Callithrix jacchus: one gene and its partner. The protein of the gene in region 1 interacts with the protein of each later gene in a biochemical or structural test. Links are inferred from orthologs where the notes say so. Each region holds a gene or a part of one and is shown on either strand. Other genes may lie near its edges.

The links.
Region 2: the proteins of UBE2E1 (region 1) and UBR7 form a complex in vitro, tested with the Homo sapiens proteins (2 studies listed by BioGRID). The link is inferred for Callithrix jacchus from reciprocal best matches to the Homo sapiens genes UBE2E1 and UBR7.

What each region holds. Positions count from the first base shown.
Region 1 is NC_133518.1:62,153,132-62,157,169, reverse strand, and holds the start of UBE2E1 (ubiquitin-conjugating enzyme E2 E1), read right to left. Parts: upstream 3,165-4,038; 5' UTR 3,058-3,164; intron 1,900-3,057; 5' UTR 1,867-1,899; coding exon 1,715-1,866; intron 1-1,714. UniProt on the Homo sapiens protein: Accepts ubiquitin from the E1 complex and catalyzes its covalent attachment to other proteins. Catalyzes the covalent attachment of ISG15 to other proteins. Mediates the selective degradation of short-lived and abnormal proteins.
Region 2 is NC_133509.1:128,025,111-128,029,128, reverse strand, and holds part of UBR7 (putative E3 ubiquitin-protein ligase UBR7), read right to left. Parts: intron 3,760-4,018; coding exon 3,626-3,759; intron 3,239-3,625; coding exon 3,178-3,238; intron 2,124-3,177; coding exon 2,028-2,123; intron 1-2,027. UniProt on the Homo sapiens protein: E3 ubiquitin-protein ligase which is a component of the N-end rule pathway. Recognizes and binds to proteins bearing specific N-terminal residues that are destabilizing according to the N-end rule, leading to their ubiquitination and subsequent degradation.

The DNA of each region.
Region 1 (4,038 bases):
ACTGATGGCTACTACTCTTCAGCAAGGTATCAGGGAGCTAAATTCGCTGCAAAAACAAAACAAAACGAAAGCCTTGATGTTCATTTACATGTAAAATTACTATTTGTAGCCTCCCACCTTTCATTTTTTAAAATCTACCATCTCTTTCCCAGCACTTTCAAACAAATTTTTAACTTGTTTAAAATAAATGGACAAAGTATGTCTAGTGAAAAAAACAATTCACTCATAACAAAAGCAGAATATTTTCTATTTGATACCTGTGTCTTTACCCCCAAATATATATTCATGTACACCAGGGATATCTAGCAAAATATAAAGATGCAAATTGCCCAAAGCAAGTATCCTGGCGTGAGCACATGAGGCCAAAAGCTAAATGAGGATCAGGGAGCCTAGAGGCTTGAGGTGGAGGGCAGTGCTGCGAAAAGGCCCATCCCAAGTGGGCAGGGTGGATGCCAGGTTCCAGGAGAACCAAACAGGGCTAATCAGTGAGGGTCAGTTAGGCCTCCTGGGAAGATTTACGATCAAACCAAACCTATAAAAATGAGAACAATCTTGCAGAGGCACCTAAGACCTCCACACTATTTTTTAAAAGTCACTCCATCAGCCCATGGTTAGGTCACCAAAACACTGCCAAATTTTCAAATTACAAGTCAGGCAGAATGACAGAACAAACCCTCAAACCCTGACTTCCTGGCTCACTACTCAGTGGACAGATCTAAAGTCTCATGTTCCACTTTACATTAAAAATTTTTAAGGGTTTCTCTACCTAACCCACCATTCGGACTCCCTACTATGTTCCCGTTTTGCCACCTTTTTAACTGTCTAACTCTGAGAGCAGAAGGATTTCTAAAAAGGTGTCTCGGAGTTCCTAGGAATCTACTAAAGATTATTTTAAGTGTCATGGGGATCAGAGGATATTACTGAAGAATGGCAGGTGTAAAAAGTAGCTACCTCCAAGAGCTGTAAGAGGAAAAGAATAAAGAAAAAGAGACACAGCTTAAATTGGAAAAAAATAAGGCAAAGTAGCATTTTTACAGCATGAGGACAGCAAATAGCATGAAAAAAAAGTCTCCCTGAAATTTGGTAAACTGAAGTTCTCAAAGAGAATCACAAAAATAACCTACAATAACCATTTTACATCACTTACTGATTCATTCGTCTCAACTCTCAGAAAAATCTCTTTAAATTCCATCAGAGAATATCTGTCTTCACCTACGAAATTTTGTACCTGCTCATATGAGTTTCTTATTCCTTTTACAATTTGTGGAGAAAGCTCTATTCCAAAAAGATCATCCATGCAACAGGTGAAAAGAAGGTAAAATGGTCATAGAATCCATTTCGATGCAGTTGTCTGAGCAGGTTATTAGTAATTAAGAAACAGGATGATGGCCTTGGGGAAGGTCACAGATTAACCATTAAGTGGGACAAGGAATCTGAAATCAGATTTGGGGCTCGCTAATAAAAGTAGATGAGGATTGTTACAAACTTCGGCGAGAAAAGCGAGAGCCAAGCCGCAACAGCTGCATGTGGGCAATGATTTTAAAAAACAGAAGCAGCAATAGAGAAAATAATTAGGGTTTCCAAGGCCCTTCTTTCATTTTTAAGAACACACAAACCGTGAGGAGCGTTTAAGCTATCCTCGTTGGGAGGCAGACCAAATGCAGCAAGAGGCAGTTCGGAAAATAGGAAGCCTGTGGAAAAAAGAGTACGGTACCTCTTGGCGCTGGTGGAGAGGAGTTTGGAGTTTTTGCTCATGCTGACTTTACTCTCCTTCTTCTTGGGGGTGTTTGTTTCTTTCTCGGTTTGCTGGTTGGAAGATGAAGATGAGGAGGAGCTGGTGCTGGCCCTCGAATCGTCATCCGACATATCGAACCCCCCACCCCACCCCGCAAACAGCCCCTGCAGGGGGAGGGAAACAAAACAGAAACACACAAACCATGCAGCCAGTGTAAATAAGGAACTCGGGTGCTGTCAGGAGGGCATTGACCAGGGGCGCACGCGGCCGCCCACCGCCCTCCACTCGCTTTTCAAAGTCTGCAGGCCCATTAAGGCTTTTGCAAATCGGACGCGGCTTGTTTGTTTATTTTTGGCCCCAAGTAGGGAACGCGGTGGGAAAACGGTCTGGAGCTCGGAGAGCAGCCCCTCCCTCACCCCCCGGGGCTCTCCGCAGGGCAGGGAGGGAGTAACCAGGAGGCGAAGAAGGGCAGGGTGGGGGCGCGGGGCGCCGCAGCGGGGCAGGGAGGGAAGGTCCCGGCGGCCGGCCGGCCTCGGGGCTGTTTTTGTACGCTTTCCGGGGGTCGTGGGGGACCGGTGGCCCGGGTGAGACTGTGGGGCCACGAACGGAGTTTGGCGAGGTCGGGAAGAGAGGAGGGGCGGGAAGGAGTAAGAGAGGAAGCCGAAACAGGGGGACGGAGGCGGGGAACGGGTGCCCGGGTGGGGGAAGGGAGAGGCCGGCGGGGGGCAGGGGCGACGAGGCCCGAGCCCCCCCCCCCCCGCGCCGCGCCCCGACGCCCCTCCCGGGCGGCCTGCCTCTGGGCCGCCCGGCTCAGGGCTGCGCAGCCGGGCGGGGGTCCGGAGCACACGCCCGTTCGCCACTCGTGGAGGGGGATAGGGGCTGCGGCGTGGGGTGGGGGGGGCTCGGCCTCCGCAGCGAAGAAATAACAATGAGCCCTTCCGCCCCGGAGGGGTAAATCCCCAGGAGCCCGCGCCCCTGGGGAAAACAGGGCTCCCCCAACTCCCCCCCACCCCCGCTCCCGGCCCCCTCGGCGGCCAGTGGGGGGGCTCCTGGGGCAGCGCTGACAGTTCGAGCCACAATGACCCCCAGCCCCGACGCGGGCGGCCCCGCAACCCACGCGGCCCGGGGTCCCTGCCCATCCCCCGCGGGCGGGCCCGGGACCCCTGGGGCTCCCCAGCCCCTCTCCGCCACCACCCCTCCCCCGGCCCCGTGTCCGGCGCCCCGGCGGCCGGGGCGGTGCGGGTCGGGGACGGCGGCGAGGGGTGTCCCCGAGGCCGGCGGCGCGGCCGGGGGGCGGCGGGCCGCTGGGGGGATCCCCGTACCTCTCTTTGTGTCTGGCTCCTCCGTGCCGCCGCGGCGGCTGCTGCTGCGGCTGCGGCTGGGCCTGGCCACTCGTGTCTCTCTCTCGCTGGGAGAGAAGCGGAAGTGCAGCAACAGCAACTATTAAACAGGCAATGGCTTCCCCCAGCCACACACGCTCGCACACACACCACTCCTCCGCCGCCGCCGCCTCCTCCTCCTCCTCGCCCTCACCCCTCCCCCACCCGGCCCGGTCCCACCCACCCGCGCTCCTCTCCCCCTGCAACACCTCCTGAGGGTGCGCGAGAAAGACTCAGGAGACCCCAGAAAACCCTGCTCCCCCCGCACCCCCACCCCTGCGTCTCCTCCGGACGCCCGGGAAGGGGGCGAGGGGTGTGAATTTCCTCTTAAGTGGTTTGGGAACCTGGATTCTAGGCGGGAGAGGGGAAGCCGACGGAGGTGGGAGGCTCTGGGAGCGTTTGGAACTAGATGGAATAGGGGGGTCAAGAGAGAAAGTTCTTTCCAGTGAGGGCTTTTGGAAAGGAGAAGGGTAGGGAGGTGGCAAATTGGTGAAAAAGATGGTAATCTGGTGGCAAGCAAGGACTTTGGTCTAGAGAATGCAGCGGGAACTCCACCTAAAAAGCGATCAGTTTAAAGAGAAAAAAAAAAGCACACAACAGGGGTTTTCTTTGGGCTGACACTTGCTTCTTCTAGCAATTTACCTGCTAGGAGTAGAGGTCAGTTTAGGCACGCCTGTGAGAAAATCCCAAACCAGGAGTTTTCTGCTCAGGTCACGCGAGGCACGTGCAGTTTTACAATATTAAATTCTTCCAGTCACTTTTTATACAAAGTGATGTGGTTTTATAAGAGTAATACAAAGGTTTTGGTGACACATGAAACCAACGTGCAACGGGCTTGCAAATGTGAGAAATCACTGGGAATAAGCTATATACTACTGAATTAGACTGGATTTAGAATTTTGGGTGTCATTTTACATTATATAT
Region 2 (4,018 bases), on another chromosome or scaffold:
TTTATTCTACATGAACTGGTAAACCAAAGGCTTACATTGAGATAAAATACTTTACAAACATCTCAAAGCTCTTTCACATCAGTTACTTAATATCTGATTCTCACAAAACTGTACAGACAAGGAAGGCATTCCCATTTTATACATAAACTCAGCCCCAGGCAAGTAATGTGAGTGGACCAATGCAGACAGTGAAACTGGGACTTTTTAGCACACCATCCTTTAGGGATAGTATACTCAGTTGTATTACTGTGTAAGGATGTTCACTCTAGCCTTCTTTATATTGAAAAATTAGACAACGCCTTTCGGCTGCAGAAAAACCATACTGCCAAGTAAACTGAAAAGTAAATGTTATGAAAAACCCCTCGAGAGATAACTCCTCTAATTTGAATAAATTAAATAATTAAATGCTGACCCTAGAAAAATAATATACCAAAGGACAAAGACTATTTTGGGGATGAGTTTCTTTTATTCGCAGGCTCTCATAACTACTAATTAACATCCCAATGTTGTTCTGTCCTTTTCCTATTGTGGCTTCTTAAAGCGGAAAAAAAAAAAGCACATATTGTGGAATGGGAGGAGCTATAACACTTTACCACATACCTTGAAATATCCAAGTTTAAGCTTTTATTTTTGTTAACTCAGAGACCTTCAATCTGTCCATCTATATAATTTGGTTCAATAACTATAGTTCCAAGGCAATTAGAAAGCAAGGAAGAAGCAGAAGGCTAATATCTCTAAAGACAAAGGGTACTCTTTCAAATCAGTAAATACCCAAACAAAACCCAAACCAATCAAAACATGGTCTGAGGATAAGAAAGGACAATTCAGAGAGAAGGTTATTATGGATGTCCAATGAACTCATGAAAAGATGCATAACTTCACTTATGATCAGGGAAAGAAAAAAAATTTTAAGATACTATTCTTCATTTATCAGATTGGCAAAATGAATTTCAAGAACTGTTAATATGCAGCATTAACAAAAGTTGTTGGGGAAAAAACACTATCATATACTGTTGGTGGTTCAATTTTTTTGGCAGATATGATTACAATTTTATTATTTATTATTATTATTTGAGACAGGGTCTCACTCTGTTACCCAGGCTGGAGTACAGTGCCACAATCCCAGCTCACTTCAACCTCTGCCCCATGGGTTCGAGTGATTCTTGTGTCTCAGCCTCCCAAGTAGCCAGGACTACAGGCATAAGCCACCATGCCTGGCCAATCACAATTTTAAATACCACAAATACACTTTGATCTGTTAATTCTACTGATCCATTCTACATAAATACTTGGAGTATACTCAGCTCTATTACTGTGTAAGGATGTTCACTCTAGCTTTCTTTATAATATTGAAAAATTAGACAATGACATTCTGCTACAGAAGAACAATTAGGCTGACTAACTTATGGCGTGTGAAGTTAGAGGATACTCTGCAGCAGTTAGAACAGGTAAGTGTGTTTTGTTGACATGAAAGAATGTCTATGATATACTGGTAAGTGAGAAAAGCCAGTTGCAGAAGTGAGTGTACAGAATTTTCACTTTTGTTAATAGAAAGGAAACTACACACTGAAATACACATTCACTCAAACACTTTCATGTGCACAGAAAAAGGCCTAAAAATATACACACCAACTGTTAACATGGTTATGCCTGGGAGATAAGAAGTACAGGAGTGAGGAAGAACTCATTTTGAATTTTGCATATAGTTCTCATTGTCATTTTTAAGAGGACACTGTTTGTATATCCTATTTCTTAAAGAGACACAAGAAATTGAAAGCCATTTCTTAGAAAGTGTTTGGGGGCTGGGAGGCAGTCAGGGAAGGAGAGGAAGGAAAGAAGGTCCGGCTTGGGAAAATCCTCTCCAGTATTTCATCTCATGATGTAAAAATGAATAGTTATGTTCCGATTATAGATCCAACCCACATTCATAAGAAAAGATAAATCTAGAACCCTTTCACCATCCCACACTCCCTCCCGAAGAGCCAGAGGCTTGCATATGACAAGAGGTTGAGTCCCAATTCTCTTACCTCATCTTCAGGATCAGGATAAGGTCTCTTGCAAATGCAGTATAATCCAAAAAAGTTGTCATTGTACTTATTGCCAGAATTTACCTTTGCTTTGTCCTGAAATATGATATTGACTTCAATAATAATATGGTCTAATTTTAAGTATAATTTCACATGTTATAAAATTTATGCATTCAATACATTTCCACATTATTTCCCCAAGAGGCTCATCTTTAATTTTCAAAGTAGGAGGAAAAAACTCACTACTTCTAAAGGGATACTTTTTTCAGGGTGAAGGGAAGATATAAAATTTTTTTGTACTTTTTCGTGGTAATTAGGAAAAATTAAATACACATATTCAATAAAGTGGAGATAAAAGTTAATCATAAATATTATCAACCTATGTGAACTGATATTGGCCTGAAATTTCAAAGTACTTCTTTTTTCTTTTTGATAGAGATGGGGTCTCACTATGTTGCCTGAGCTGGTCCGGGTTCAAGCCATCCACCCACCTTGGCCTCCCAAAGTGTTGGGATTACAGGTGTAAGACACCATCCCCAGCCTTATTTATGTATTTTTTTTGGTGGTGGGGAGTCTCGGTCTGTCACCCAGGCTGGAGTGCGGTAGCATGATCTCAGCTCCCTGTAAGCTCCACCTCCTGGGTTCAAGCGATTCTCCTATCTCAGCCTCCAGAGTAGCTGGGATAACAGGCGCGTACCAGCATGCCCAGCAATTTTTTTGTATTTTTAGTAGAGACAGGGTTTCACCATGACTGCCAGAGTGGTTCTGAACTCCTGACCTCAAGGGATCTGCCTGCCTTGGCCTTCCAAAGTGCTGGGATTACAGGTGTAAGCCACCAGGCCCAGCCTATTTATTGTTATTAAGTCATATCCTTTGCTTTAAAAGCCTCAGAGCACAAGCACAACCAATACAATTAAACCTGAATTACTTTCAAGTACATCTCTCCCCCAAACCTTTCATATTAACTACCATCTATCTTGTAGGCTCTCGACAGTTTATAGTTTTTCCAACTAAGTAAGAAATGAAATGCCCATCTGCAAAGAATAAGAACTTCTTTTTTGGAAAATATAGGTATTTGTTTTTTTACCCACTCTGGCAAATATCAACCTCAGCTGTTCTAACTACATTTATAGTTATAGTGCTTACTTACAGGAAATAATTTGCATTCCAAATTTTTAAACTTGCTGTTTCCACAATCACAACGAAAATTTCTGAAAAAAGGAGAAAAGGCCAATTCTATTTTTCGTCTTACAAAATCCAATTTAAAATTTCTTCAAGCATTCAAGCATATAATAAGACTACAATTCTGGAAATTAATATACACAAAAGCAAATATTTATATCATATACACACAAACACACACAAGTAAAACGATGGCAGAGAAAGATGATTAGTTTGAGTTTGTACCATATTATGTTTTTAAAGGCTCTAGAAACAACTCTTTCCAATTATATTATATAAAATAATTATAATAAATTTCACTACTAAAGTAGTGTACAACTGCTTTGCATGAAAAAACAAGATTAGGAAAAAAGTGTAGATGGAAAAGAATGCATACATTTAGAAAGTATTTAATAACAACCTCTGACTATGTTTACCTTTTTGTGTATAGCTCAAATAGTTTGTGACTTCCATGACATTCATAACTGCAAGCTAAACAAATTCCTGCTGGTTCTTCTCCCTCTGGGGTGCAGGTACTACAGGCATATAGTGCTTGTCTCTTTACTGAGCCCTAAAAGACAGACCAAAAATGGAAAAGAGAATTAATGTAATAGCATGGTTTACATAATACTCACACTAGGAACTGAAAAATAATTAAAATCAGATTATGTCTGGTCAAGATCATTCTGTAAAAACCATTAAGACTAAGAAGTTTACAATCCAGAGCATCGACCAAAACACAGTTGCACATTTCACATCTATACTAGTGATTTTCTCATGCAAGCACTTTTTTCTTTCTTTCTAATTTATTTTTTGCAGAGATGAGGCCT